2 linked regions of the Tribolium castaneum genome follow. The protein of the gene in region 1 binds, or shares a complex with, the protein of each later gene. Links are inferred from orthologs where the notes say so. Each region holds a gene or a part of one and is shown on either strand. Other genes may lie near its edges.

Region 1 (10,826 bases):
CTTAACATGCCCTCGACTGGCTTACATTTGAACGATTCGGCCACTCTTTGAACGGCGTCAGTGATTGTGTATGTTTCGTTGCCGGGCTTTAGTAGTCTTAGAGCGGCTTCGGAAGCATAATGTGCTGCGAGCATTACGTCGGCTTTTCGATCGGTGGCCTTGTGCTCGCTTGAGACACCTAGGATTATCGTGTGGGCCACCACGGCGATGAAACCGTCGATATGCGCGCCCAAATCACTAAAAAAAAGGGGCAAGATAGCACATTAAAAGGCATAACTATTTTTTTTTATAATAATATTACATCAGATCGTATATTTGCAATCACTGATTTCAGTTGGATCAATTGGAGTTAAATAAATCATCATGGAGTTAATTTTTGGAAGCAGGACACAACCAGAGTTCTAATCTTAAAAAAATCATATCTTTTTTATTATAAAAGATACACATTTGAAACACAGACATTATACACAAGGCACTTTTTTTCAGAGAATCTAATAATGTTATCAGCGATTTTTTTCAACCATTCGTTTAACTGTAATAACATAAAGTTGTATTTTTTTAAATTGGAATCATAGTTGGCTGTGAAATTTTCGAAAAACTTATTTTTTTCTGATTTGATATGTCTATTTGTGTAATACATTTATTTTGAATATTTAAGAAAAAACAAAACATTTCGCCTTTTTTATAGTAGGCCATGAAAAAATTTTGGATTTTAAATTAAAACTATGAAAATTGTATTACCCAACAAGTATTTATAATTTAATGATTTTTTAAACGCTAATTAATTCAAAAACAGCCAATAAATTTTTATTATATCAAATTTTTGCAATTAATAAAAATTATTTGTTATTATATTTAAAATGGCAAGCTTACGTTGTCATTCTATTTTCCAATTTTAAACATGAAATGTCGGAAGAAGAAAAATCTTATTAATTGTATGATTGCGTATCAATAAAATTTTATTTTACAAAAAAATGTCAATCCAAACACCAAAATCAAATTCCATCTGCGGTAAAAAAATACACAACATTATCAACGTCACCTCCATTGCACTAAATCATAAAAAAAGTGTCATCTAGTGGTAGTGAGACATCGTTTGCAATTTTCTGCACCTTTTTTATGTAATTAAAATCTGCGACGCTCGTATGTTTGTTCAATTGAAAATAACTTTAACTTATTTTTATAATTTCACATTTTTTACTTTAATAACCGTTCACAAAATTTCTAGATTATTCACACCTTTTATGTGAAATAATTTTTCCATGGCCAACTACTTTCAAATATTTTAAATATATTTTTATCAAAAATATATAAAAATATCAAACTATATTTATATTGTTTTGAGTTCAGAAAAAAATAGGCTTTTCGAAAATGTCATAGCCAACTATGATTCTCATTTTAAAAAAATACAACTTTGTAATTAAGAAAGATTACTGATAACATTATTAAATTCTCTGTAAAAAAGTAATAATGTCTTTGTTTCAAATGTGTATCTTTCACAACAAGGAAGATATGAATTTTTTAATATTTCACTAAAATGTCAACTTTTGTTTATAAGTCGAAAACAAAAGACGATAGCAACACAGTTTTGACCAAAATTATTTTCTCAAAGAACGGACCCGAAAATATGTCACTCGTTTTTCTCTAAACCTAACATCTAACACAATGTGTTAAAAATAAAACATTCAAATTTGCCGCCAATTTTAGTTCATCATACAACAAAAGCTCGGCGCCAGGATCGAACATTTGACAAGAAAATAAAAATAACGTGTTACTTGATTCTCTAAACTTGAATAAGACTGTATGGTACTGTTCCGCAATTTTTGGCGCAAAAACCATTTAATTTAATTTTAACCCTTAAGCTGGTTGTGTCCCATTAGAGATTTTTTTTTTCACTTACACTTTGACCATATCCCCGTCCTTCAGGACATAATCAGACTCACTGGCAATGGGAGAAAAATGGCAAATACAGTTGTTGACCGAGACACACGTCGGGAAGGCAATTCCCTTCTTTAGCTCCTTCTCCTTCTTGAAAACTTTGCTCGTTTCTTCCGTGATAAGCTGGTCTCCGAACTCGCAAATCTCGCGAACTGAGCTGCCTGGCTTACATTTTTCGAGAACTTGTTTCAAAATTCCTGAAAAAAAACTAGTTATGACCGAAACGGGGGCCAACGCTTGCTGGGAGACCACATGGTTGGAGCATATGGCGCTGGGTGAATTTAGCCGAGGGTGTTTTTTTTGGGGGGCTCAAGAGCGACGTTTCAACTTACTGTTAACAATTTCTCCGGCCATTTTATACTTGGTAACGACCAAGTCTTCCGAAATTGTTTTCTCCACATTTTTCTCGTCCGCCATTTCTCGCACTACGAGAACTAGAGAGGAAACGTCATGTGGTTGCACACCTGACGCGCCAGTTTTGAATTTATACTTCCACAAAACGTTTATTGTAACTTTGACGGGGGTTAAATGACCGGGGAATCACTTATGACTACGGTGTGATGCACGATTTTGGACCAAACCGCGGAAAATTATAAAAGTGGCCACCGATCAGGGGAATTTTTTTTTGGGGTGGCCAACTTGTGTGGAGAAACTCCCGGCAAAAACTAAATTTTAATATTTATTTATTCATTCTGATGGTTTTTATCTTCGCCGAGTCATATTTTCTGAGAAAAACGCCCTACGGCCGATTACGGCGAAGCTATAATAAGGCCTAAGTCAAAATTCCGACCAAATTTTAAGCAATAATACCAAAAAAAAGATATAAAGATATAAAGTGTTTTTTTCAATATCAAAATTGATAGAGTGGTTAGAACTTAAAAAAATCAAACAATAAACATTTCAAGGGCCAAAATAACCGTTAAAATGAAACAAAACCCAGTTTGTAATTTTCTTTATTAAAAATAAATAACACAATTACTTCATCTCAACATCGCTCGTTGCAAACTTAAGTGTGAAAACCAACGTCATGGGAGACGTAGCATCTGCGACCATGATATCCATGCCATCCTTAAGCCCCAACTCAACTAAAGTCTTATTTAAATTATCCCTGGTCCTCTCCTCTATACTCTTAATCGTGGAAATGTACAAAGTCTTATTTTTCCCATCAATAACCGTGGTTAAACCTGGATTTTTCATTTGAAACATCTCATCCTCACACAGGATTTTAATCAAATCCTTCAGCTTGACTTTACTCGGATCCTCAATCGGTAGAGTTTGCGGCACTTGGGAGCAAACCACACAATTGTCCCTCCGTTCCGCTGCGTAAGTGTAAGTGTAAATCCCGTCCACGTCATTGAAAACCATGTAATTATTCAACGGTAGACAACAACTCGTTGCGATTTTAAACACTTCTGTGGCGCAAACTCCGGCAATAACGGCGTTAGTTGACGCCACTGCTGGAATAATGTGCTTTACGACGCCTTGAACAAGGCGGTAAGTCACTCCAGGGATATTGAACTGGGACGCCCTTTCCAGGGACTTTTCGTAAACCCAGCCAATGTGCTGGGAGTCGTCTCCGTCCAGGGGCGCATTAAAGGGGTTCTCCTTGGGCCACAAAACCACCTTTACGTATTCAATGCAGTGTTCAGGCAGGCGGGGTGTGTTGGCGATTGTGCACAAAGGGTAGGTGATCTGAGGGGGGTACAAGTCAAGGGTGCACTCAACACAGGCGTTGTTGCCAGGGACTATGACGCGGGCGTTGCCCTTAAAACCCTCAGTACCTGGAAATAAATTATTACTCAATTATATATATTTTTTTAAATTTTGGCGCCACAGCACAGTTCAGATGGCGCTGTAAACAAGAAGAATTATTCGGAAATAAAATTAACTAGACGCCCTCTGGTGATGACTTTTGAACTATGTCGAAGACAGTAAAGAAATTTTCGTAATGCCACATTTAACTGACATTTAATGAATTGTTCAACAATTTTGCGTGTATAGTGTTAATTACTTACAATAGAAAGAATTACTTTAAAAGTACGTGGTGGTAAATACTAGCGTTGACTTTGGTTCTGTAGTTTTTCATGGTATAAAGTGTTTATTGTTGGAACTTGAAAGTGGATAAAAAGTGAAAAATATTTAAATTTTGATTACAAAGTGTTATCAAACAGTTGTCTAATTAAAGATTATAAGTAATAAATCACAGCGAACACAAAGTTTGGCTCAAGAAACCAATAAATTAGTGAAGTGTTATGAATTTTAGATTAGAATTTTCCACTGAAAAAATCATGAAATGCTGCAGTAAATGTACAAAACTACAATAAAGATTAACAACTGCTGATACATTTAAACGTAAATTATGCCAAAAGGTAGGTTTTTCAATGTCTTTGTAATAATTTTCCAATAAAGAAAGTGAACCAAACAGTCATTCGTTATTCGTGTTTTCCTCGTCATCTCTCATTTGTCAACATAAGTTTCTTGCATCAAAGATGCAATAATCATTCCGCATAGGCAATGGAATAATTGTGAAGCCCCAAAATTCGTACAACGCTCAAAATATCCGAATAAACATTTTCCCGCCATTTATGGTTACTGTTTTCGACCTAGCTCAGTGGCGCCCCCAACGGTAATTTTATTTCCGAATAGTTTGTTAGATAAAGATAAATGTCAATAAAAATATCAAAATGGAAAAAAAACTAAAATAACACAATTTTTTGTGAGAGAAATAACTTTAGCGTCTGAAACAAGAAGGCGCTGATATTTTGAAACAGCGCCATCTGCGAAAAAAGGCGCGTTTTTTGTCTCAGCCCCCACGTTTCGGCACAAACCTCCATCCACCAATGGAATAATGGTCGAATTATCCAGCACCCCATCCTCGTAGCTCAAGAGCGACAAAATCATGCCATTAATCCACCTCCTGGCCACGATCGAGTCCAACCCGCACACCATAATGTGAAAACTCCGATAAAAACTCTCATCGTAGTCTTGTATTTTGCAAAAATGGGGCGTCACCTGGCACCCAGGCACGCGCTTGTTGATGAAAGCCGCCGCCACTTTGGCCTTGGACTGCCCAATGTCCTTCTGTCTGAACAGAAACTGGCGGTTCAAATTCGACAAGTCGATCGTGTCCATGTCGATGACGTGGATCTGCTTGAACCCCATCAAAGCCAAGTCCTTCAACAGTTCGCAGCCCAGGCCCCCGGCCCCCACGACAAGCACCTTGCAGGAGGTTACGATAAAATCCATGATTTCGGGTGACGGCTCGAACTCCGGGTGGCAAAAGGGGCCCGGACGCTCCAGCACCTTGCGCAGGTGCCCCCAGCGCTTCTGTTCTTGCGTTTCGCTCATTTTTAACCGTTTTTAAAATTGGAACTGTCAGAAAGGAAGTGACTAACGCGCCAACTCGTTTAGTTATTTCACGCAAAAAGCCAGGCACAAAGGCAGGAATTTTAATTACGTACTAATTATGCACTGCAATTGGTGCTAATTATAATTATTATTCTCCTCAATGCCATAAAATAGTCGGAAATAAGTTAAAGATCGTAGCGTTAGCCACTTCGTGACGTAACAACGCGTTGATCGCTGTCAAACAAATGTCAAAAAAGTTACGTTGTGATTTATTGTTTTATTGAATTTTTTATTTAAAATCAGTACAAAATTGTTGGGTTTTTTATGTAATTCATTTATTATGACTGGAGAAACGGAAAGCAATGTTGGGAATTCTCTGTTGCCAGCAACCGGAGATAAAATAATTAATTTTGTGGATAACCGCTCTTGCAGCAAACCCTCAAAAAGGGTAAGATTTTTTTTAATTACTACTATTAGCCCGGTTTTGGGACGTTATCAGGTGTTACATGTGTGGTAGGTAATTAAATTGATTATTTAATGTAAATATTTAATCACAAATGGAAAACTGTCGTTATGTTATACAGAGTGGTCAAGAGTCACTGTTTGAGTTGGCAGGCCTGTGGTCACACTGGCTTGTTTGACGTTTGCAATGTCAACGTTTCAAATATCCACCTTTTGGTCGAAAACGGTGTTTTTAAATTAAACCACGTTTTTTTCTGAAAAAATCTTTTTACTCTTTTTTTATTCTTTTAATTTTTGAAAATTTTTTTTTGTTCAATTGTCAATATATTTTTTATTTTATTAAATTTATCGATTTGTATAAAAAACTGACTCGAGACCAATAAATTTGTAGATAGCAATGGTGTTACGGTAAAGCACGTTCAAAGTAGATTTCTATCTTCAAAATTACCCAACCTCTAATTTGACATGAATGATGTTTTTTATAATTAATGTAGTTATTTGCTCGTATTTTAGATGATTTCACACTTTTTTATCATTGTTTACAATTTTTAATAATTATTTTGGACTATGGAGAACTATATACTAGGAGGCGAAACAATGGAAAATAACTCGATTTTTTGTTCTAAAAATTTTGACCTCACGTTGTATTAAATGAATTAAAGTTAACTATAAATCACTAATTGCTTGAAAAATAAGCATTAAGTTTTTAATAATGGAACTAAAATTTTAACGAAAAATATATTTTTGAAAAAAAAATTGTCAATATATTTTTTATTTTATTAAATTTATTGATTTGTATAAAAAACTGACTCGAGACCAATAAATTTGTAGATAGTAATGGTGTTACGGTAAAGCACGTTCAAAGTAGATTTCTATCTTCAAAATTACCCAACTTCTGATTTGAAATGAATGAAGTTTTTTTTTATTAATGTAGTTATTTGCTCGTATTTTAGATGATTTCACACTTTTTTATCATTGTTTACAATTTTTAATAATTATTTTGGACTATGGAGAACTATATACTAGGAGGCGAAACAATGGAAAATAACTCGATTTTTTGTTCTAAAAATTTTGACCTCACCTTGTATTAAATGAATTAAAGTTAACTATAAATCACTAATTGCTTGAAAAATAAGCATTAAGTTTTTAATAATGGAACTAAAATTTTAACGAAAAATATATTTTTGAAAAAAAAATTGTCAATATATTTTTTATTTTTTTATTTGCTGATTTGTATAAAAAACTGACTCGAGACCAATAAATTTGTAGATAGTAATGGTGTTACGGTAAAGCACGTTCAAAGTAGATTTCTATCTTCAAAATTACTCAACTTCTGATTTGAAATGAATGAAGTTTTTTTTTTATTAATGTAGTTATTTGCTCGTATTTTAGATGATTTCACACTTTTTTATCATTGTTTACAATTTTTAATAATTATTTTGGACTATGGAGAACTATATACTAGGAGGCGAAACAATGGAAAATAACTCGATTTTTTGTTCTAAAAATTTTGACCTCACCTTGTATTAAATGAACTAAAGTTAACTATAAATCACTAATTGCTTGAAAAATAAGCATTAAGTTTTTAATAATGGAACTAAAATTTTAACGAAAAATATATTTTTGAAAAAAAAATTGTCAATATATTTTTTATTTTATTAAATTTATTGATTTGTATAAAAACTGACTCGAGACCAATAAATTTGTAGATAGCAATGGTGTTACGGTAAAGCACGTTCAAAGTAGATTTCTATCTTCAAAATTACCCAACTTCTAATTTGATATGAATGAAGTTTTTTTTTATTAATGTAGTTATTTGCTCGTATTTTAGATGATTTCACACTTTTTTATCATTGTTTACAATATTTAATAATTATTTTGGACTATGGAGAACTATATACTAGGAGGCGAAACAATGGAAAATAACTCGATTTTTTGTTCTAAAAATTTTGACCTCACCTTGTATTAAATGAATTAAAGTTAACTATAAATCACTAATTGCTTGAAAAATAAGCATTAAGTTTTTAATAATGGAACTAAAATTTTAACGAAAAATATATTTTTGAAAAAAAAATTGTCAATATATTTTTTATTTTATTAAATTGATTGATTTGTATAAAAACTGACTCGAGACCAATAAATTTGTAAACAGTAATGGTGTTACGGTAAAACACGTTCAAAATAGATTTCTATCTTCAAAATTACCCAACCTCTAATTTGATATGAATATGGAATTAGTTGCACACTCTGAAGCATATCAGATTTTTTTACGTAAAAAAAGTCGAAATACCCATTTCCATTGTGTAACTGTGCATACCAATTTTTTTACACTTGGCCAAATCCTTGTTATTGCCACTTCCTAAGGCACACTAAAAATGCACAATTCTGCACAGTTTTCTATTTGAAAGTACTAAGTGCAAGTAAATTCGATGGAGAAAGGGATGTTCTGTCAATTAAGACTCGTTTTAATTAGTTCAGTCGTTGAAAAGCACCTGTTCTAGTTGTTTATAGCGTGCACGGCTTGTCAGCAGCGCTTTCAGTTCAGTGATTGATTATTTGTTTGTGAATGAGAGAGAATCTGCTTCTGATGGCTTAGTTTATTTTTTTAATTTTTTTTTGTTTTTGCTTTTGGTGTTTTTACTTTCTGTGTTTTCCAGTCTTCTTTATTGTGGTGGTGTCTTGCATGAAACGCTGCCAAGAGACTGAATTTGTTCTTCTGAAGCTTTTTTTTTGGATGTTACGATGACAAACTCACAGGTAAGGGATTTAAACGACTTTGTCCAATTTCTTACATAACTCGATTTATTGAGAATATGGAAAGTAGGTCTTATGGTATTATGGAATAAATTATTGGAATAATTGGAATTCATAAAATTTGTAAATTAGATAAAAAGTGAAAATGCACGAAACCTTCATAACCATTATTTTGAAAGGATTTAAATTAAAATACAGACAAGGGAGTGAGTTAGTTTTCACACGTCTTTCTCTCGTCCAATTTTTATTGTTAAATTAATTAATTAATACAGAGAGGAGAGAAAACATGGAACAAATATATTTGAAACAATCTTTATCTGTTCTTGTTTGTTTCAATTTTTCTATTGCATCTTGACCTCGGTCACATTCTTGCAATTATTTTATCGGAAATTGTAAAAACCGCATAATCAGTGAGAACATTCTCAAGCTCAAGATGTGTTTAATTATATTATTATTATTATTATTTGTGCATTTTCTTTGAATGGAATTCGATCAGAGAAATAGTTACGTAATTGCGTTATTATCTGTCTCCACTTGGCGTTATTTTAAAATAAAAATAGATGTTTTCCTTATTACATATAATATATTAATTAGCAAGTGTAATAAAAGTACTGAGTCATAACATACGGTTCGTAACAGCGTTCGTTTATCTTCAAGCGTTTTAAAGACAACAACCAACCGCACCTCATTTTATGTATACTTGTGACAAATTTTTTATCACTTGTATTGACATTGATAAGAGAAGTGATAATAATTTATTAGAATAAATGTCTTAATTAGACCACATGGTGGATCGATGCGTTACGTTTGGTGTTTGGGAGTGAATTATGTTTGCAAAAAATTTAAAAATCTACGAAATGACAACAAACAAGGTATGTGTCGTTTTTAAGTGTTGTTTTGTCACAACAAAGTTATTTTTGGCGAGTTTGGTTCGATTACTGGACGAAAAAACCTTGGATTCATAATTAGTATTAATGTAGTTGTGATGTCATTCAAGAGTCCATGTTTTAGATTTATTCATGTTTTGCATAAAAATTCGACTATTATACGCAACCTACAATTACTTAGGGACTTTGACTTTTCGAAACACTTAATTTGTTCGCGAGATTTTTGACATAAATAATTTGAAAAATCTTTAAGCTGGATCCAAAATAATGTAATTTTTAATGTTCAGCACGTTTTTGAGCTTACTATCCAGTTTTTTTTGTGATTTCTCGCATTTTAAATTTTTCGATCTTTTTTTATTCAAAAATTCAATCATTTCACAAGATTTCGACAAAAGTAAGTCGAGAAATCGTCGAAATTGTTGTTATTTCTTGCGTTCGTTGAATATTTACAAGTTTTTTGAGCTAAAAACTCCATTCTTTGAATTTATTTAAAAAAAATATTTTTGAAGAACAACTATAGGTAAATAAATTTAAAATAATAATTTTTGGCTTAAATATAACGTTCAAAAACGTTTTTGAGCTCAATGTTTTTGCACGATTTCGCTGAACTGGGCTTTTTTCCCAAATATTCAATAATTTTACGAAATTTCGTAAAAGACTAAAATTTTTGGCCAGATTACGTTAAACCAGAAGGAAAGAGTCATTGGATATTTAAAAAATTACCTTATTTTTGGCTCTTTCCAGCGTTTCTGCACGTTTTTTAATCAGAAACTGAATTATTCAGCAGAATTTTTATATAAATTATTTGAAAAATTTCTAAACTGTTTCAAAATTTTTAGAGTACGTTGATTCAAAGGTGAGATTATTTAAAAAATTTTGAACGATTTCGAGCATTTTTTTACCAGAAGTTCAATGATGTTACGAAATTTTGTCAAAAATAAGTTGATAATTTCTTCTTTGAACATTTAAAAACTTTTCTGAGCTATTTTTTGGCAATATTACGCTATGAAAAAAAATCATTGAGTTACTTTTGGGCATATTTCTCAGTAAGAAACACAAATTGTTCACCAATTTTTTTAATAAACAACTTGAAAAATCTTTGTATTAAATTAAATTGTATTAAATTTTTATCTTTTTCGAACTTTGAAGCACATTTTTGAACTAATAACTTACTAAAACTTACTATTTTATTTGTGTGTTTTAAATTTTTAGCCCATTTTTTATCCAAACTTTTAATGATTTCCCAAAATTTTGCCAAAATGAGTCGAAAAATTAGAAAAAAATCGAAATAAATGTTGCTTTTTTGTGTTTTCTTTGAATGTTTCAACATATTTTTGAGCTAATAAAGACTAATTTTTTGGTGGCATCATTATTTTTCAGCTAGAAACTTTCACATTAGATGCAAAATAATATATTTTTTACCTTTTTTTGAACGTT
Region 2 (11,064 bases), on another chromosome or scaffold:
ATTAAAAAAAATGTAATTATAGTTGTAATCCAATGTGAATAGAAATAATGTAACACAAGTAAAATCAATAAAAAAGTACTTACCTTAATAACTTCATATGATTAAACGCACTTAACTAATTAAAGGGAATACTAATTAAAAAAGCCAATAAGTAACAATAGTTTATTATTTAAATAAATACATACGTATTATAAAAGCTTGAAACAAACATGGATATAATTTTATACTGATAGGGTTATCTCTTGTGCGTAAAAGAAAAAACACGGCTATATCACAGTCATTCTTCACTCTGATCCCCTAATTGCTGCTCCTTCCGTTGTTGCAACCGCAGACACTTTGGGCACTTACTCTTCCGCCCAAAACAGCTCTTATGCAGGACGGCATTACACTCCGAGCAAATCACAGCCGCGGCATCGAAAGGAAACAAAACTTCGTCATTTGAGCAAATCTCGCACAAATGTCCTCTCCCCCGACAAACCTCACACTTCACCTTGATATGTTTACTAAACACATCGATGATTGTGTGAAGTTTCGTCGGCAGCTCCCCTGAATGCGTATCCACCAGGTCCTGCAAGCTGTACAGTTCTGGCGTTTCAATTAAATGCGGCACATCCACGTGTTTCCACAACAAATGGTCTTCATTAGCGTTTCGACAAACTGAGAGATATTTCCTCATTCCGTGTAATTCTTGCCGCAAACGGCGCACTAAACTCAGCTCATGGACGAGCGAAAATAAGCGTGGGTTCAGTTTTTCTAAATTTAAAAGCGGGCGATTTGCTGTTACGCGGAGTTGCTGCAGACTTGCCTGGCACACGGGCTGGGGGGCGAGGTCCCAGTTGTGCACCACGCGGGCGGGGACCACGGCTGAGCTGCCCCAGTGGCAGGCCGTGCAGTAGTAAAGGCCGGAGTAGTCGCATTTGCGGGCTTCGGACCAGTCTTTGTCTTTTGAAAAAATTAAATGCTAGTTTTTGAGTTAATTATTTGGCGGTTTGCGTGAAAGTGAGCGCAGATTATGTTGTTAGGTCCGTTTCACACGCTGTGACAAGAATTGCTCGTGTGGTATTGAAACAGAAAACTCAATTTTAATCTTGTTAGCTTGTTACATTTATGGAAGGAATTTAGTCACAGGGTGTGAGATGGTGTTAGTGCCTCAAAAAGCTGGGTTTTACCTGGAAAGAGTAATCTACCGAGACAGCTTATTCCTTTTGGAGCAGCTAGCACAGTATAAATTATTAATTAATACTCCGACTTTATTCGCACCAAAAAAGCACACTTTCATTTTTAATTTAACAAGCTGGCTAATACGCAATCATTTAGCTAGCGCTTGCTTAATAAAATGATACAGAAAATCGATAAAATACAATCATACAATTTATTAATAACGCAAGTTTTACCAAAAGTAAATCTCCCTAGTCATACTGATTTTTTTCTGAATTATTTCTACAAAAAAAAATAGAACAAAATATTGCCAAGTGATTCGTACTGTTTTAAACGAACGAACGGAACACAATTTCATTCCATTTTTAAAGTGAGAACTTTGATATTAAGATAGTAAAAAGTTTAAAAGGTTTTGAAAAATTTAATTGTAAGTCCATTTTGATAAAACAATGCCCTGGCCTTTGCTTAATTAATTCACAAAAACTATGGGAACATCCGAACTAAATACAATTTTGATTTGGTGGTTAAAACTGGGCATTTTTTTATGTTATTATTCTCAAAAGTTGAAACTACATACAGATAATAATTCATTTTTGTTTCAAATTATGGCTCCTTAACAACACCTATGTATATCATCAGTAAAATAATGTTCAAATAGCAAATTATACAATGATTTTTGAAAAAGGTGAGGCTTGAAAGAGGACAAATATCTACATAGAAATTATAATAAATTTAAATGGAAAAATGTGCGACAATGGTGATTTTAAGATTGATTTTATTTAGTTTTTTCTTTGGATAAAATTAAAAAAAAAATTTTGTAAGCAATTTTTCAACATGATGAAATTCCTTTAAACTCTGTATTGTCAATCTTCTAACATTCTTTTGGTTCTAATTAGAACAACTCTAATGGTATACGTAACTGAGGCAGTAAGTAGCTGCAAATTAAATTTCGCTTTTCAGTTTTCTTAAAGTAAACTAATAGAATTTTGTTAATTTGGGAGTTGGACAATATTCCTTTTTTTTCCTTATTATCTAATGAGTTATCGAATACGCTAGAACACTGTTACATACAATTTGAAAATAAAACACAAAAATATTTAATAAATGAAGAAATCTGGAAATCTACCGGTATTTTTAATATAAAAATAATGTTTAGTTTAAACATTTAATTTTGACCTTACGTTTAGTAAAGTTTATGAAATTTTCAAACAACTTAAATTTTTGTAATTTTTTTAATTCACTAACAGTTTTAATTAAATAACAAAAAATACGGTAACTACACTATACATTCTAGTAAAATGCTTTGTAATATAACATAACATACCTCAAATGTATTATTTTCTTAAAAAACTAGCTAGAAAATTTGGTTTAGAAATCCCCTACACACTACACTAACCCTGTATATTGTTGGAAATTGAAAATTAACAGCTAATAATTAAAAGTTTGTTGTTTTTATGTAATAATTGAAAAAAAAGGTTCAATTAGGTAATAAAGTAGAATAAAGTCATTTGGTACGAAACAATGTTCGTAAAATCTTGAAGTGATTACTAATTTATTAATTTATTATATAAATTATGCATTTTTGGCAAAAATAGTACGTCTTCTTTCTTTCAAAAAATGTTATGTAAGGGTTGATAGGTGATATAGAAATTGCCAGTAGGATTGAAAAAATTAGATATACTTACGTCTTTGTTCACATTTTTGCAGCAATTATTTACCATTATAATAGATATTATTTTTAGAAAACGATGATTTATTTAGATTATATTTATTTGTTTATAATTTGTTTATTTTTATTCAGTTTGTTACTTAATATTTTATAAACCTTTTATAGACTAATTAAATAAAATATAAATCAGCATTTTTTTGACTAAAAACAGAATTACAGTGATCAGTGTGTACAGAAGTTTTTCAAGTGCCTAATAGACATTTAGATGTACATTTTTCCAATACGAAAAGAATTCTGTTACAAGGATCCGGTATAAAAAGTTGGTATTCAATATTTTTTTCAGAAAATCAATATTAAATTTGTACTATTTTTAACTACCTAATTTAATGACACTTTGTACTGCTTTTGCTTTTTTTATTGCAACAGATCCATTTTAATGAAGTTAAAAGAACTAGCTATAAACAGTAGCTGAAGCAGATGAATGAACTTCAAATATGCAAGAATTATCTCCACCTTACCAAATCGTAACAATAGATATTCTTGTAAATCAAGCAGACACAAACCTTTTAGTTATTTTAATTGCAAAATTCTCACGTTAAAATTAGGAATTGTATCACAGAAAAAATTGCATAATTGCTATAAAATTTGGTGGCCTTTTGGCACATTTCGTTACTTTTCATTTTGAAATAAGCCGAAGCCTCCTCAATTTATTAGGTCTAACACAAACTTCTGGGTACTTACTTATGGGGAGAGGTGACTGGCACTCGGCGCACAGATACTTTTGAGCTGATAAACCTTCTTCTGGGCAAATTTCCAACTCATATCCTCCCCTTTCACTGGCAACGACATGAGCACATTCTCTTATTATTTGCGATATGCATTTATAATGACACGCATAACCACAGTCCTCACACTCATACCAAGCTTGCACCAAACTCCTAAACAAATCATGTATTTAACTCAATTAACTGTTTGTAGTATTTTACCAAATTGTGCCAGTACAATGATCACAATACTTTGTGGAAGTACTCAGAAGTGGCTGCAAGTTTAAATGGTGCCCTCGCACTGTTCTCCTCGACACACCACTGCTTTTATTCCGTGGATGTCTGCAATAACAAACGTTACTTGAAATTGTGATACAACAAATTATGCAATAATCACAGTGGATCCTCCATCGCTTCCCTACATTCTTGTAGCCTCAAACGTAGTTCTATGAGGTGCCTCACGAGCCACTTGCGTTCCAATGAACACTGATTGCTCTCCAAAACCAAGTCCTTACATCGCGTGATAGCCTTTAACAACTCTTCCTCTGTGGCTTCCTACAGTTTCAAGTATTAGGAAAACTACTGGCAATAACCAGTGATAACCTTTAACCTTGTTTAAAGCCAATTGCAACTCTTCCGCCGCTAGACTTGAAGGCAGGAGCCTATCGTCTGAACCTTCGTCATTCGATAAACAACCCGACGTTGTAGACGACGGCGTTGAGGCTAAAATTCTGCTGTTTTCCCCTACTTCGCACATTGTTTACATATTATTTTAATGCGAATATGTTAAGATAATTAATGTTCAGATTAAACAGGTTGATGACTTGTGACTTGTTTGACAACTTTGGATTTGTGAGGTTAGGTCCGCATAACCTCAGATATGCCTCCAATTTTGTTCTTTTGTGTTTTGCAACAACTGTATAACAATAAACAGAACTATCTGATAAAACCGTGACTTGTAGCAAAATTATTCTTTAATTGCAGCTATAATTAACCGATTACGACTAGTAGTAAAAATTTGAGGTTAAGTTGCCATTCTTGTCTTGAATAATTACACCAAAAAGCGTTTTAAAAACTTTACTCTTAGTAACCTAATAACAAATCAACCACTTAAAGAGTAAACGAGGCAGAAGTTGAGGTAATTGCATCGTAAATAAAGGTGTTGTTTAGTGGCTTATACTGCAGAGTTATAAGTTTGATGGCTTCATGAGCCGCACATCCGCCCAAAATAGCCGAGACTGAGTGCAGTTCAGCGCCCCCGTAGCGACAAACTTCGTGTACCCTCTCATCTCTGATTATCTGTGAACAACCCCACTCTCCTAACAACTTCCCAATAATGCCCTTCAATTTAAGCACATCAGGCTCCACATGGTCATCCAATTGCCCTGGATAACTATTAAATTCACTGATAAAGCGCTCTAGCCCTCTTAGAGTTATGTAATGGAACATCAAACTATCAGGATCCTCAAGACATGACGTTAGATCTACTCTAGTTTTTTGATATTCATCAGCAATGCAACTGCCACGAATCACATGTAACTCACTCGCATGCTTGCAAAATAGCTTAGCCTGAAACCAAGAATTCAATACAGAAAAACACTAAAACAGGAAATTACTTCAGATTCGGTTATGGTCTCTTGAGAGAGGCCCAAATTTCGCGCAATTTCTAACGCCCTCCTGTAGATAATTTCACACTGGGTTTGAGCCTGTTTTTGGTAGAGTTGTTGCAACGTGATGTAGCTACTGGTGTCAGCTGCCATATCTGGTAAAGTCCCTTTCAAAGGGGGCGCCCCTTCTTTTTCAACAAATTCCTTCAAGGCCGCACATAAAACCCAAAAAGGTGAACTGTTCTGGTTCACATTTATGCAGCTATCGTCCTCCAGAATTGCTTGCAAATTTGGGGGAATCTTGATGGGGTTAATACAAGTATTAATGTAGCGAATAGCCTCTTTAAAATTCTCCTCCAAGTTCTTAATTCCGTGTTCATCAGGCGGGGGGCTTTCCGTTATCATTTTTTTAACTTCTTCCTTTTCGGCTCGAGTTTTCGGTAAATGGCCTAACAATTAAGTTTTGTATACAGAATGCTCAAAAACGTGGGCACCAACTCAATAAAAAATTGGACTATTTAAATTTATTTCAACCAAACAAGAAAAAATTAACGCTTTCAGGAAGTTTAGGACATTTATAAGTGAAAAATTGTAGAAAGTATTTTGGAAGAATACAACAATATTTTTACTAGTTTAGTTGAAACAAATTGAATAAAAAAATTATTAAAGCCCTAAAGAATGATTTTTGATTCTTCATCTTTTCACGACCGCAAGCCCTTGTGACAAGCTTTATTTTCTGCGAAAATCAAGAAAATCGCTACGTGGAAAGACAAATAAAAAATTTAATTTATGTTATCAAGGTATTTAAGGTCCCAAGGAGCGATTCTTCTGTTGAAAACTTTTTTAACAAGCTTTGTTTGTTTTTTATTTTATAGAAAAATTGAATGTTTGACTTTATTCACTTTAAAAAACAGTTTTGATGTTGTCAATGAGACGATCGAGAAGTCCCAAGGTTTATACAATTTTTTTTAATTCAAGTACTGTTAGAATTTTTCAGTAGACATACAAACTTATAAGAAAATAAGTCAGAATTTTTGCAGTACCACTGAGTTGGTACGTGACTTGAGCACCCTGTATAGAATCTTTCATGGTTTCAAGTAACTCTATCAGAGTGGCCTATGACTTAAAAATTAAGTTGGCAGCATAACTAACAAATGCACATCGTTAGTATGGTCATCTGACAAAACCTAACAACAGCATTGCCAACTTTGTTTCAAAATTACGGCCACTTTGACCAGAAATTTACCGTGTTTGCTTTTAAACTGCGCCAAATAATAGTACAGAATAACCACCGCAGGCACATGACTGCGTTCCTTGTTGTCTAGTTTGGTTACATCAACTTTATCCAAATGTTCTTTAAGTGCAGGCCATGGATTATCTAAGCGTAAATCATGATTTTCGTTATCAGGGTGGGCTTCTATTATGGTGTGTTCTTTGACTTGTATTCTTATGTAGCCCAGAAAGCCCACACTGCGGCATACAATAAGTGGTACATTTTTTTCCCATAAGTGTCTAGAGAGCGGCATTAAAACTCTAAAATTTGATCAATTATTTCCTGACGTCATTTCTATTGATTTTACTTTTCTGGCAAACACGTTGCAATTACGACAGAAAACGTGTCAAAAAAATCTTGACTGTGGGCCATAATGTGGTCAACGGACTCGTCAATGTAGTCCCCTCTAACATCAGGGTTCAGCTCAAGTAGGTTTTGAGTGGCTACCTGTGCTCTAGACATCCCTATTGAATCACTCTCGATAAAAAAGCTAAAACAACTGATTCAGACAACGTTCCTTAATTTTAAAACTCCTACTTTGAACCAATATCATCATCAGTTACTTTTTCACCATCAACAATCGTGAAGGAACCAATGCCAGGCAAAACCAAACTTTTGAGAATTTCCGTACCCAAAGCGGTGGCGTTAATTAGACAAATCTTTGAGTTTTCGAGAAATTTCTGACCGTGATCGCCCCATAATCTATAATTTTCGTTTATTTTTTGAAAAATGACTGGTCAATGTTGACTAACCTCAACTGCCGGTCGTATTTTTTGCTCTTTTCGCTTTGTTCCGGCGACTTTGGCGCGGGAGATGACATTATCGATTAAAAACTTAAAACAAGGCTTTTTATGTGTTACACAACAATAACTTCTTGTAAAATTTAAAAAACTGTCGGCCTTTTTCACTCCAAATGTCAGCTTTCAATGCCGGCAATTTGCACTAGTTTTGGAAATAAAAATCACTAAAATATGTATTAGAAGTGAAAAATTTCTAGATTGGAAACATTACGCAATAAAATTATACTTGTAGGATTACGTTAATATTTCATTGCATTATATTCCTAAACAACTATGCTAATTTAAAGTAAGTTTATTTTGCTGTTAGGCCGCAAAATAAATGATTTAATTAACAAATTTGATACAGTTTGCGCTCTATATTTTACAGATCAATGGAGAGGTAAACCGTTGCAAAACGATGATTGCCGAAGAAAATTAAAAGGGCGACATCTGCGATTCTTGGGACATGCAAGTCCTTACACGTGAAATTGTGTTTTAATTTTATTCGGTGTTAAAGTGTTAAATTTTTATTGTATTTGCTATCGCGATAAAGTCAGTGTTTCCAAGTTCGTATTCTGTTCATTATCAGGTATGTCATTTTTTTATTATAGGGTTTCATTTACAAGTACTGGTTCCGGCACCGGTTTAAAAAAAAACGGTTTATCTTCGTTCAAAAAACCTTTTTGTCTGTTTCTTCTTTTTAATCAAGGTAGCATGAAATCTGGGCAATATTAAATAAATCAGCACTCTAGATAATTGTGCATAGGAGTTCATTCCACATAGGGGAGATGGAGGATAGTTGGTTAAAATTTTAGAGAACATCTAAAAAACACGTGGTCTCGATTTCAAAGAAGCTTTTTATTAACAAGGGACACAAACTGAATCAGTTTTCTTGCCTTGTCTTGCATCATTTGCAGAATTAAGCCTTTTTGCTGAATTTTGCTCCTATAAAATTTTCAGATTTTCACTTCATGTTTCTTTGTTTCTAACGGATATGTTTGAAATAATACATTTCTTACTTATATAAACGAAAAAGCCACTACAACAATTGATTTATTTCAAATTGCAGAAATAAATAGCAAGGCACAAAGGTTAATTTTTCTGTATTCTTTGTAATTTTATTAATTTTTTTTCAATTTCGCATTTAATTTTAATTTACCAATTACCTGTTTTTTAACACAATTTTATTAAAAAAAAAACAATGCTACAAAACGTTACTTTATAGTATTGTTTTTGGTATTTTTTATGTGGTACTGTTACCAGTTCTGATTGCATTCAGTCAAATAATTAACAAACCAAGCTTTAACAGGGCACGGAATTTTTAAAATTCAGTTAAATCACGTTTTGAAGTTGGAAAATGTTGATAAAAGTGGTGTGTTTTACGTAATTTTTATTTCCCAAGCGTGATATATGAATTACCAACGGAAAAAAAACCTTTGATGAAACCTAATTTAAAGATTTTGAAATATTAGCAAAAATAGTAGATTTTTTTGTTCTTTTGTAATTCTTTAACTCCTACAGTTTTGCTTAATTTTTGTCTTGCTGAAACATTTATCTGATAAGTAAAGGGGTGGTTTTTATTAAACAAAAATCTTAAAATTGTGGTTTGTTCTGGCTCTTGGGTTTAAAGGTGTTTCCATTTAAAAATATCAATTGAAAAACTACCTAGTATATTATTATATTTTCGGTTCACTTTCATAAAAACCATTGTGGTGGAATTGACTAACCCGTTACCATGACAACTCAAAGTTAATGCCAAGAGTACCCAATTTCCACCACAGTGGTTTTTATGAAAGTGAACCGAATATATGTAGTATATATTATTATTATTATTATTATTATTATTATTTATAAAAAATATTGAACCTTCTTTTATTGAAATAAACAAATCTCAGACCAATTTGTTTGTATTTTTACAAAACTGCAATATCTAGCCACGATGCCGCGAAAAACTCCAGTCAAAGAACTCCAAAAGGAAGAACCAGTGGTCAGTTCCCCTCTCCGAAGATCAACTCGATTAAGTACCAGTTCACCAGTTCCAACGAAAGTCATAACTAGAAGAAATTCAGCTAGTGAAGCAACAACTTCAACTCCGAAAGCAACTAGAGGTAGACGTTCTTCGTTTAGTCAGGAATTGGAATCAAACAAGGAAAAATCAATAACTAGAAAAGGTATCTAAGTATTCTGTTAATTCGTTTTTTAATTTTTTTTATTCAGGTTCTGCATCATCAAGTGTTGAAAATGACGAAAAGCCAGTTGCAAGACCTACAACTCGAAGCTCTTCTGTTACAAAAGAAATAACGACAGAAGTCAAAAGAACAACAAGACGTCGAAGATCCGTTACTGATGATGCAGATGTTGTTGAAGATGAGCCCACAACAAGAAGGACTCGTTCTCTGTCACAGAATAACAGCGTCGATGATTTGAAACTTTCAACTAGAAAACAGTCCTTGAAGACATCTGAAATACCTGTTGCTACTCCAACAAAAAAATCGCCTTCCAATGAACCCGTCAACACAAATTTGGAGTCAATTGCCGAAGATGAACATTCAGAAGAGGATGAACCAGTTACAATAAAAAAGAACTTGAAGCCTGAAAGTACTAAATTAGACCTTGATTTGAGCGTCATCAACGAGGCTAGTTTAACAGAAGAAGATCCAAGTCCAGAGAAAAAACGAAAAACTGAAGAAAAAGAACAAAACAAAGTCTTGAATGTGTCTCAGGAAAAATCCGAGGAACCAACAGCCACCAAAGAAACAACTCCTGTTAAAGGAACCGGAGAAAGCGACAAGTTTGAGACGGATTCTGACCATTCATTCACTCTGCAGCTTTCCGTGTGTGAAAACAGCGATAAAAACGAAACAAATACCGATCCCAGCAACAAGGAAAACGTCAATCCTAAAACCCCATCTCAAGACATGGATTTTGAACCGATGGATGTTGATGACGCAGAAATTGACTGCTTATTTACCGAAGCTCAGGGGAAGTTTAACAGTTCGGAAAATCTTTCACGCGAAAATGAACCACTTTCTGATGCAAAAAAAGCCGAAAACCTTGCTGAAGCCAAGAAGGAATTGAACGATTCAGTTATGGAACAAGAAAAAATTAACAGCCCAGTGAAGAAAGAACTGAACAAGTCAAAAATTAACACACCTGTGACGAAACAATTGAATGAATCAAGCACTGAAAAAGAAAAAATTATCACCCCAGTGAAGAAAATCGATACTCCTGTTAAGCAAGCCCATGAAACTAAGTTAGAAACTGTTGCACTGGAAGAAAAAATCTCTCCTAAAGAGGTACCGAAAGTTAACGGTGTTGAAGCAATGGAAGAAATTTCTCCAACTACAGAACTACAGAATCAATTAATGAAAGAGAGTCCTGATAAAGAATCCAGCAAACAGGCTGTTGTTATGCTTGAAGATATAGGACTTCACCCAGAGAAAAAAAATACCACTCCAGCCAAGCAGGCTGTTGTTATGCTTGAAGAACTGACACCAAAAGAGAAAGTGTCCAAAAAGTCACTAGAAACACCGGCTAGAAGAAGTCCTAGAATCAATTCGCCACTCGAAAAAATGGACAAAATGCTCACACCTAACAAACAGACAAGTCCTGTCAGGAAAACACCTACAGAAAATAAGGAAAGTCCTGAAAATAAAGTGAATGATAAATCCGCTGCTAGTCCCAGAATCGACTCTCCTAAAAGTAAAAAAATAAACACACCCGTGAAACCACTTGAACAGGAAGGACAAAAGGGAAGGAGTCCATCTCCCAAGAAAACACCCATAAAAAGTAAAGTAACTCCCGAAAAGGGTTC

What was found. The genes of interacting proteins can lie anywhere in the genome.
Region 2: the proteins of Uba3 (region 1) and APP-BP1 are in contact, whole or in part, in a crystal structure (PDB 3DBR), measured with the Homo sapiens proteins. The link is inferred for Tribolium castaneum from reciprocal best matches to the Homo sapiens genes UBA3 and NAE1. Residues at the interface, in NP_003959.3 of Homo sapiens: Trp34, Glu35, Gly36, Arg37, Trp38, Asn39, His40, Lys43, Phe44, Glu46, Arg47, Ser48, Gly49, Pro50, Phe51, Thr52, Phe56, Glu83, Lys86, Asn87, Leu90, Ser91, Val106, Ser107, Leu109, Asn110, Arg111, Phe113, Leu114, Arg116; in NP_003896.1 of Homo sapiens: Glu10, Gln11, Lys12, Tyr13, Asp14, Arg15, Gln16, Leu17, Arg18, Leu19, Trp20, Asp22, Glu44, Lys47, Asn48, Leu51, Pro52, Gly67, Glu68, Ala70, Gly71, Asn72, Asn73, Phe74, Phe75, Gln77, Arg78, Ile81, Phe92, Glu95.

Annotation. Positions count from the first base shown.
Region 1 is NC_087400.1:1,384,960-1,395,785, reverse strand, and holds Uba3 (nedd8-activating enzyme E1 catalytic subunit), read right to left. Parts: upstream 5,406-10,826; 5' UTR 5,287-5,405; coding exon 4,767-5,286; intron 3,720-4,766; coding exon 2,914-3,719; 3' UTR 2,876-2,913; downstream 1-2,875. Other genes in the region: proliferation-associated protein 2G4, read right to left, coding at 1-237, 1,901-2,135, 2,271-2,355; coronin-2B, read left to right, coding at 5,627-5,734. UniProt on the Homo sapiens protein: Catalytic subunit of the dimeric UBA3-NAE1 E1 enzyme. E1 activates NEDD8 by first adenylating its C-terminal glycine residue with ATP, thereafter linking this residue to the side chain of the catalytic cysteine, yielding a NEDD8-UBA3 thioester and free AMP.
Region 2 is NC_087394.1:31,696,942-31,708,005, forward strand, and holds APP-BP1 (nedd8-activating enzyme E1 regulatory subunit), read right to left. Parts: upstream 7,424-11,064; 5' UTR 7,292-7,423; coding exon 7,224-7,291; intron 7,174-7,223; coding exon 7,009-7,173; intron 6,962-7,008; coding exon 6,779-6,961; intron 6,732-6,778; coding exon 6,445-6,731; intron 5,648-6,444; coding exon 5,208-5,647; intron 5,161-5,207; coding exon 4,702-5,160; 3' UTR 4,654-4,701; downstream 1-4,653. Other genes in the region: DEF8 (differentially expressed in FDCP 8 homolog), read right to left, coding at 278-942, 1,170-1,214, 3,569-3,765, 3,814-3,933, 3,989-4,146, 4,202-4,348; muscle M-line assembly protein unc-89, read left to right, coding at 9,190-9,421, 9,468-11,064. UniProt on the Homo sapiens protein: Regulatory subunit of the dimeric UBA3-NAE1 E1 enzyme. E1 activates NEDD8 by first adenylating its C-terminal glycine residue with ATP, thereafter linking this residue to the side chain of the catalytic cysteine, yielding a NEDD8-UBA3 thioester and free AMP.